2 linked regions of the Drosophila melanogaster genome follow. The protein of the gene in region 1 interacts with the protein of each later gene in a pairwise test. Each region holds a gene or a part of one and is shown in the gene's direction. Other genes may lie near its edges.

The links. The genes of interacting proteins can lie anywhere in the genome.
Region 2: the proteins of Prosap (region 1) and homer interact in a two-hybrid assay, tested with the Drosophila melanogaster proteins (one study listed by BioGRID).

What each region holds. Positions count from the first base shown.
Region 1 is NT_033778.4:14,137,898-14,142,805, reverse strand, and holds the start of Prosap (prosap), read left to right. Parts: upstream 1-1,903; 5' UTR 1,904-3,017; intron 3,018-4,908.
Region 2 is NT_033779.5:6,719,351-6,724,648, reverse strand, and holds homer (homer), read left to right. Parts: upstream 1-1,718; 5' UTR 1,719-1,838; coding exon 1,839-1,852; intron 1,853-2,209; coding exon of another isoform or gene 2,210-2,218; coding exon 2,219-2,507; intron 2,508-2,562; coding exon 2,563-2,999; intron 3,000-3,052; coding exon 3,053-3,131; intron 3,132-3,194; coding exon 3,195-3,461; intron 3,462-3,517; coding exon 3,518-3,625; coding exon of another isoform or gene 3,626-3,652; intron 3,653-3,706; coding exon of another isoform or gene 3,707-4,090; 3' UTR 4,091-4,753; downstream 4,754-5,298.

The sequences.
Region 1 (4,908 bases):
GAGAAGAGGTGTGGGGGGCGTGTCGTGCATACTGCATGTTGCACCAGAAGCACACGTTGCATCGGAATAGATGGCTCATAAATCCCAACTGACTGGAAACATCTAATAACTATGTCAGCATGTGGCTCTCAAACTGTAAAGCTGGCACGCACCTAAAAATGAAAATGGAAAACTGGGCGGGTTTTAACAAATTGTGGATCCATAAAGAACTCATTGAATTTGACAGGATTTCCTAAATCAATTCTTTATTTTATTTTAATTTCGTGTAAAATCACCCGTATAAAAATGCAAGAAAATTGGTAAAAAAGTGGAATTTATCGCGTAATGCAAGAGCACGTTGATATTACAGGAAAAACTCGGTAGCATCAGTGAAATTGCATTTTTCGACTGCCTAATTTTCCATGCGAAACCTCCTGCTTCTCTTCATAATAGGAGAACTGGCACTAAAACTGACCTCTGGGGTCGTCATCATTTTTGGCTCACGTTTATGATTGAAAATGTTCGTTTTTCGCAAAGCGGAGGAGTTTTGCATAAATCAAGTCAATTGGGTATATCGAGGAAAGCCAAATGAGTGATGGTTTTGAGTTTAAAACGGGGTGAAATTACATAAACTTCATATGTGAGATTATTTCTGGAAAGGATTTCAAATATTACAAAAAAATTTGGGTAAAGTCGAGATATTATCTTATTTGTAGACTTAGACAAATGTAATACGAAACAATGTGTTTAGGTTCGAAAACAACGAATTGATGTAATGATTTATGTAAAAAAACTGTACATTTAGGTACAATTTAGGAATTTATCTTATGATTTATGTAAAAAAATTGTACATTTAGGTACAAGTTTATTTGATGTATCTTAAAATGGTCATAACTTGCATTTTTTAAGTAGCCAATTAGCAAGTTTCAAATCGTTGTGGACCAATAAAAGTGGGCAAAAAAACACTTGGACTTTCAGGTTTTTTGCAATAAAAACAAAACCACAACTTAAGGCGCCTTTGGAAATAAGCCTTGGATAACAAAAACAGCAAACGAGGAAATTGGGAACAATGGACCGGCAAAGAAAAGCTGTCGCTCCCCGAAGCAACAACAACAACAGCAACAGAGGCTATGGATTAGCCACACGTGGCCCCCCACACTACCTCCCAACCACCCACTTTGGGTCAGGAAAATGAAAAACGATTCGAGCGCCAGAAGAGCCAAAAGAAATCGGCGAAAAAACCTTAAGAAATGCTGGAAAAATACCCAAGTGACCCAGAACTTGTGCAAGAAAATAGTCAAGGTGCTCGAGGGGAAATTGAAGGGGGAGGAGTTCTGCGGAGGCGTTTGATTTTCCTACGCTTTTGATGTTTTCCAACTAATGACGAAAGCAGCCAGCAAAAAACTCGAATGTTCGCCGAAAATGTTAGCCTGCTGTTAAGAGAAGCAAATAGCCCCAACATCCGGCGCAATAAATTTCGAAGAGCGGTTAACGGTCGACTTCGAACTACATGTTAGCATTTCGTGTTGGAGTCTGCGCTATGTTCTGATTAGAATGTCTAATTTGGAATGTCAATGAACATTTTAATTAAATGTTAAAGTTTTAAATATCGTGTTTTATTTCAGTACTGATGCAGCTATTGATATCAAGAGGCATAGCGCAGAATAAAAAACTAAAGTAAAATAATAAACATTGATTGCATTTGCAATTTTTAAATTCGTAGAACATTTTTCTAGCCAGGGCGCAATCCGTCATACAGAACTCCAATCAGAACTAAGTGCTGCCTCAAACCTCACGGCACAACCGGTTAACAGAAGCCGCTCTTTTATCGAATTCGAACTCGCTCTCTCCAACTAGAGCTGTAAGCCCAACGTTATCGGCCTGTAATCGAACATTTGCCATCTCTAGTGCGCTCTCCAACGATTTTTGTTATTGCTTTTTCAACCGCGATTCGTGCAGCATGTGTGTTCGCGTGATCTGTTAAAAAAATAATGCTTAAAGCACATCGGTAACCGTTAAAGTCGCCGGGGAAAAAACCAATATTGATACTAACGAATTTTCGAATAATTTTCACAAAACGATTTTGTGCGCGATTTTTTCGTCCAGGCTCAAGAGGAGTGCGAGCGAGAAGGAGCGAGACAGTCGACGGTGGCTGCGTGCAAAATAACGGTGCACCGAATTCGACCAAATAAAAATTGAAAATAATCGCCGTGATTATTAGAATTTTAAACTGCCAACTGCAGCTAACGAATCAACCGATACGAGAAACCGATCGATGTGAAGTGCAAAAACAAGTAGAAAAATACAAATAATAAAAACAAAAACCGGTTCGCCTCTGCAGCAGCAGAAATCAAAGCCAAAAACGAAAAGAAACAAAAATCAAAGACAGCGAAAGAATTTTTGTTGTTTGGCCGGTGCGTATGTGTTTGTGTGTGTGCGTGCGCGTCTGTGTGTGGGAGTCTGCCAGTGTGTGTGAGCCTCTCGGCAAAGGAGAAAAACGCACAAGTCGGTAGGAAAAAGGCGTACGTAAGGAAAACGAAAAAGAGAGGAAAAAACGCAGTAGGAATTTCTTGTTTCCCCAAAACCGAAAAAAAAAAATCCACGTAAACCCGTTTCCCTGCAAACACACAAAATATAAAAGGTGAAAAAGTACAAAAAAGAGTAATATCTGTGAAATAAACGGAGGCCGCAAAAAGTGGCACAAGTGAAAATTCCTGCGCCGTTCGTTTTATTATTATTTTTCTGTTGCCGTCTTTTTGACAATCGCCAAAAGTGAAAATCAATTTGCGAGAGCGCGCGCGCAAGGAGCGAAAAGGAAGAGAGAGAGAGAGAGTGTGAGAAGGAGAGCGAGGAAGAGCAATCCCGATATAGAACTCGTCCTTTTTCGGCCCCAAAATTACCCAACCCAAAAAAAAGAGAAAGAAAACTGAACGAAAAACTCCCGGAGAAAACAACAACACACAACGATAAACTGCAAAAGTAAACAAATTGCGCCGAAACTAAACGAATTTCGGAAAACTGCAGCCAACGGAAAAAAGGTCAGTACACAGCGATTGATTGGCCGGAAAATTAACTAAATTAAAGTAAAAACCCTCGAGTGCCAAAGTGGTGTTGAGCAGCAAACACCTTTTAATAGTCCCCCATTTGACCTTCACCCATGGACACCCTCGCAAATTGGTAGCACCAAAGTCGGGCTAGCAGTTAACCCTTACCCTTGATCACCGTTAATTGGACCCCCCTCCTCAGACTATCATGGTCATGGTCAGCAGGTTGTGAAAACGGTCATTTATTGAGGTGCGTTACCCTTGCATTATATAAGGCACGAAACTCTTCAATGAAAATCTAATTTCAAAAGGATTTTAACCACTGTAAGAAAAAAAGTTAAAAATGTATTAAAATATCGTATAGAAATGTAAAGGTATTTGTGCTTTAGATAAATGTAACAATAAAAAGGTGACATCACTATCTGTAACTATTATATTGAATTATTGCATTTGTCACTGCAACTGATGATTTCAAGAAAATCGTTAAGACCTACGACAGTTATTATGAAGCAGCTTTTCTGCAACTTAAATGACTGTTACTTCTGTTCTATGGCAGTTACCGCCTTCTTCGAGTTGCACACACTCATTCGAAATAAATTCGGACTGGCAGCACGTTTACCATTTGGCTGACTCTTTCTTTAATCGCACCTTTTTATGGGCCCACCGTTATATTGACCTTCACTCGAGGGGTTCTGCTCTTGAAGAGGCATTCATAAATTTCGTTTTCTGTGCGAGTGATTTGGAAATTGCACGCTTCCCTTTTTTTTTGTTTTGGAGGGGCTGGCTGCTTCCCCCTTTTTGTCCCACCAATTGCAGTTATCTTGGTTGTTTTTGTTCAACTTTACTCATTTGTTCATAACGTGACTGGTTCTTGTTGTGGCCTATTGCTTTTTGGTTGTATTTGTTGCTGCTGCAGCTATTGTTGTTGTTGTTACACAAGCGTAACAATAAAATTTCAGACTGGCCCGCCATGAAAATAGTTAAAATTTTATATGTGCTGTTATGATCATGTTTTATCTGATAGTTGTTCGCTTGTGGCACGTAACACGGTTTGTTTTAAACTTTTTCGTTGATTTGCAGGCGGCATGAAAGGGGCAAAGATATATGTACATATATGTTTATATATATGTTTATATGTACCTACATATATCACGTAGATCAGCGAGGGGAGAACTATCTGAGATCCAAGAGTTGGGTCAGCGGCTGCTTTTTGTCTCGGTTACTTAATGTGGATGCGGCTTAATTGTTCCAAAAGATCAGATATCTTGTGCTGCGCCTACAGTTGTGTTGAGATATAATCGTTACCCAGAAAATAAACATAAATATAAAGGTTTTCAGAAGAGCTTTAAAAATCATATACAAATCAGAAGAATATACAGTGCATTTAATATAATTTATTTGTAGAGCATTCCCATATAATTTTTTCTTGGAAAACGTATAAATTTACATTGAAATATTTATACTACTAGTTAATGCCAAAATAATATAAATATTAATGCTCCAAAATTTGCTCATGCTCATTTATCAGTCAGAATAATTTCAAAATGTAAATATTCTGAATGTTTTAGTGTCACGTTGAATTTAAGACGTGATCTCATGCTTCCCTACTCGAACCGAATACTTGCAGCTCTCACTGTTAACTGTTTGCGTGATCTTACTTAATTTCCTTACTTTGTGTTATATTCATTAAAAGATTTGACAATTTGCAGTGATAAATCAAAAGAAATCTGAACTCCTCGTGGCCTGCAAAGAGTGACATTTTTGCTCAACATTTTGACCAACATTTCGCCCAATTTGCATAAATTTCAAGCATTTGATTCATACGAAACGCTCCAAGTCGAGAAATTCGACTTTTATGGGCAAACTCCAAAAGGCCCAGGCAATT
Region 2 (5,298 bases), on another chromosome or scaffold:
ATTCCGCATATGGGAGATACTTAATGCTGTAGCTTCTTCTGCATAAAATCAAATTCTTTATGTTAATTGAATTTATAAAGTAAATTCAATTAATTCATACAAAATGTCCATTCTATGGAGTCCGGATATTTTACTACACACACACACGTTCGCTAGCCATTCCAATTGAAATACCCAGCATAGTGGGAGAAACATGTCTAATGAGACTTATCATAGGCGCCGCATTGATAACAAGTTTTCTACACCAACACATACGCACACTGTCGCAGGCGGGGGCACACGCACGGCATACACACTCACACGCGCACGCACACAGGCACAGTACTTTTTCTCTTTCGCATAACTGGCATATTTTGTGTGCCTAGGTGTGTCGCTGTCGCATTTTGCAATCACATATACCCGAAACAGGGTTAAACGAGCAGCAGGTGCGAGCTTACGCCGCTTTTAAATGCGTTCCAATGAGTTTTTCACCTGAAATTTCGGTTTAGTGGGACGGCGTTCGTGTGAAAAAAAAGAGGCTGCGAGAAAATCGCCTCGTACTCCTCGTTACGCCGGAACACGTACCCCGATCGATCGCACGGCGGCTGGGCAGCAGCAGCAACAACAACTCTGGCCGCTTTTTGCCCTTCGCATAGGTGTCCCGGCTGCTTTTAATTAAATAAACCGAATTCCAAATGGATTTTTTAACGATGAGAAACTGGTCAGTGTTACCAGATGGCAAAACGGCTAAAATCCGTAAACCAACCCTGGTTCTTCACTACAAAATGTACTACATTTCATGAATTTTTTCAGTGGTTCTATTTCGTCCAAAAAATATAGAAGTAAAATGTGTTGTTTTAAAGTTTTTGTGGCAGTCTATTTATGTTCAAAGCTAAATTATATGCAAATATTATTGCCGATCAGGAGTTGCCATTTGACCTATCGTCAAGTATTAGAAAAATGTGTACTAAAACTAATGCTGCCACACCGCACAAAGAAAACCATATCTAACAAATATTCAAACTACATGTAGGCGCACAACTAGACAGTCAAAAAAACTTATCACTTTTATCTGAAATTATTTTGTAACTTCCGTCATTTAAATGCAATGCTTCAACAGCTACACATGTTTTTGAAAAAATTACATTGTTATGGTGCCTTACAGACAAACATATTTAGTATTTATTTATCTTAATTAATTTGCAATTCGCTTTACAGCGATTAAATTATTCGATAAGAATCATTGCTCTTATACGAGCTCATGTGTTATCGATGCTTGGAAGCTAATAAATAAATCATCGATGGTGTTGAGCCAGTAAAAACATCGATAGCACCATACAAACATCGATTTTGGTTCCAGCTCTAGACATTTGTGTTTTATTTTTTTTAACCGTGAAATTCATAAGTAAAACCGACTAGCATTGGTATAAACTGCTGCGGAAGCACTCAGTCAGCGCCAAAGAACGAATACAATGGGGTAAGACCGATGGGCGCGGCCAAACCGGCCTAAACCTGCCGTTTTTACTGTGGGAAAAATCGACGCCGAACTAGCTGACATCTCCCCCCTATGATGTTGTTGTTGTTGCTGCCGTTCTGTGTGTAGCGGGCGGCGTAAATACATACATATATATGTACACAAACATACACCTACACACGCACACGCGTGGGCAGGCCAATTACATGTGTGTGGGTGTGCAGGTGTGTGTGACTGTGCAGGTGTGTGCGTGCGTGTTTTCCGCCCGAGAATCAAAAATCACAAGCAAGGCTGCGGAAAAGGCTTAGCACATAATGCAATTTAGTCGGCGGTCGACAGTCGCCAGCGATAACGGGAAGACACAAGTTATAGAGCTCAGCGAACGATGTCGGCGGATAGGTAATAGATAAGATATATATATGTATATGTGTACAAATAAAGGCACTGGAGGCTACCACGGATACGGAATTGATTTGATGGGGGCCCTGCGCCCCGCAACAAACTGTCATTGCATCAGGCCAGATCGCAAAAAACAAACATATATCGACCTACTTTATCAAATAAGGACCACGAGGATTATCCTGGGACTTAAGGACTACTAATTATAAATGCATTACACAGTGCCTGTTGACTAATAAACCACAGTAAAAGAATGCTTTGCCATAGTTTACTCACACGAGCACAGAAGCACAATTTATTGCCTGCTCTAAATGGAATTTTTAATTAATCACACGCTTGTCGCTTTAATCCCTTTATGACCCTTAGCGAACAACCGATTTTCACCTGCCAGGCGCACGTCTTCCACATCGATCCGAAGACGAAGCGCACCTGGATCACGGCCAGCATGAAGGCGGTCAACGTTAGCTTCTTCTACGACAGCTCGCGAAATCTGTACCGCATCATCAGTGTCGAGGGCACCAAGGCGGTGATAAACTCGACGATCACACCCAACATGACCTTCACCCAGACCTCCCAGAAGTTCGGCCAGTGGAGCGATGTGCGGGCAAACACGGTGTACGGCTTGGGATTTGCCTCAGAGGCGGAATTGACCAAGGTGAGTGGTTAGCATATGTCTCACATATTTATATACTAATCATATCGCTCAACAGTTCGTAGAGAAGTTCCAGGAGGTCAAGGAGGCCACCAAGAATGCCATGAAATCGGCCAACGGATCGAATGCCGTCACGCCCACCACCTCGGCGAACACGTCGCCCATTTCCGGGAGAGCTGTGGGCTCCATGCAGAACGACAACACAGCCATCGATCCGCACACTGTGGAGCCGCCCAACATGAGCAACACGAATACCCAGAACGCCAATCCGGACAGTCCTTCCCACAAGCTTCTAAATACCAGCGATGTCAAGGCGGACATCGGATCGGCCACGCCCTCGCCGCAGCCCACTTCAGGGGTAACTGGTGGCGGTGGAGTGACCATCTCGTCTGGCGGAAGCATTGTGGGCATGCACACGGGTCCTGGAGCCGGCGCCACCGCCGAGCAGCAGCTTAAGTACGAGAACGAGCGTCTGAAAATGGCACTGGCACAAAGGTAAGCAAAGCGTTGACCGTCATTGGCTCAAGGCAATAATGCCTTCTTTTCAGCTGCGCCAATGCCAAGAAATGGGAAATCGAGCTGGCTACCTTGAAGAACAACAATATACGGCTGACTAGTGCTCTTCAGGTAAGCAATAAGATAAGCTCACATTTATTGAAACTGATCGTTTTTGGCCTTTTTCTCCCAAAGGAATCAACTGCCAATGTAGACGAATGGAAGCGCCAGCTGCACACTTACAAGGAGGAGAATATTCGCCTCAAACGAGATATGGAGCAGCTGTGCGTGGGCGGCGGGGTTGTGGCTGCAGCCGGAGGAGGCGCCACAGAGGACGAACTGCGTCGTGAGGTGGCCACGCTCAAGGCGCGGACAGAACAACTACAGAAGGAACTTATGCAACAGGAACTTGAGCTTAAGTCGGCCAATATTAGCCTACGTGAAAAGTCCAATGACCAAACGGTGGGTAAAGCATAATAATCATGTTGAGTAATTTGCTAATGAAACTTTGTTTTTAGCTTGCAAAGTTGAGTGAGGTGAATGGTGTGTTTGCCAAGCATCTTTCGGAGTTGTATGGGGTGCAGAAGGATATGGAGAGTCTTATACAAATTGCCAAGTGCACTTGAGACACAGAGTTGGCGTTTATGCGAAAGGTTTGCGGCACATTGCCTTTTGAGTTTCGTCTTGTTGATTGGCGTTCTTTACAGGTTTCAGTGCAGGAACAGACTACAATGATTAATACTACAACGACATCATCGACAACAACAGGAAGCACGACAAGTAAACGTTATTTAAGCAACTTTCCAACCGCAGAGGCCGAGAGCACGCTCTCCAACGTCACCTCGATACACACTCAGCTGCAGTCGTCGCTTTACGAGACTCAGAACATGCCGCAGCTGAAGGCCTTGGACAAGCATTCGGCTTTGCTCCAAGAGCTTCATCAGCGGCAGGCGGCACCCAGGCGCAACTCAGCCTCTGCGGAAGCTGCTGCAGCCGGCTCTGGTGGAGCCAAAACAGCCACCATACTCGTTTCCAAATCAAAAACCAAAACTGGGCTGCCCCTGTTGCTGAAGAATTCCATTAACAATTAGAGAAATCCCAAAAAGAAAAACAAATATCGCAGGTAGAGAGAATTTATTCAGTGGCATTTTTGTAATCTTTATATTGGTAGTTTGTATACAAGGACAACGTTAAGAGTCAGCCATGGTACTTCCCCAATCCCCACGCACCCCCTCTTTTTGTTAACATTATTGGATATTTGTGTTTCCTTATCTCAAATTGAATGTATACCTATGCCCAGTATTTCGTCAAAATTCTTCGAGTCCTTGTGACACTGATGTAGGTCCAGATTGATTGATTCTCGTGCGCAGTAAAGTGCAATATACATTTATCTCTAGTATGTAAATGTAAACGATGATATTATGTGCTCTATACACTTTCAGCTGATTGTTAATTAATTTTTAATAAGAGCTTGCGATCGAATATAACCCGAAACTCATTTCCCAAAGAGAAAACCCAAGCATTTCTATTGAACAAAAGTCACAAAGATTATTTTATAAATGTGTCGAACTTTTTATAGTATTTTTAGATGGAACCTTTTGTATTCTCTAAATCATAGGCGTAAAATTTAAAAACTTATTTATTGAATTGTATTTCGACTCCATTCTATGTCAAATCCGCATCATCACAATGCTCCCGTTTATTGCAGTTATGCACTGATTTACTAACATTATACATGATATTTATAAATATATAAATTAACGTATGCATAACTAACAATGACTTAGACGACGAACACACTAAGAAACCAATATTAAATATAAAACTAAAGTAAACGAAGTGAACATTTTATAAATGGATTGAAGTAATCCAAGTAATTCACGAGACTAGCAAAGTAAATGAATAAAAGTCAAGTATGTGCGTCTGCGGACAACTAGTATAATACATAAAAAAATTATTAAAATTAATTTATATTTATCGAACCGAATTAAAAACGCAACTCGAATGAAGACAGCAATAAATACATAACAGTACACAATCTCCGAAACACGATTACCCGCTAAACGAATCGGTTATGAAGCGGTAATTTCGAACGTTTGCGATTATATTCAAGCCATATTGTTATGCACTTGCTGCATAAATAACCCAGTTGAGAAGAAATAAGAATTAACGAAAATGAAATGTTGAACATACAAATTTAGCAGTTAAAAATAAATAACAAATGAAAATATAAATAAATAAATAAATATATAAAGTAAAGAACAATTTAAAATCGGTTTTCTTTTAATTTGATTTTTTT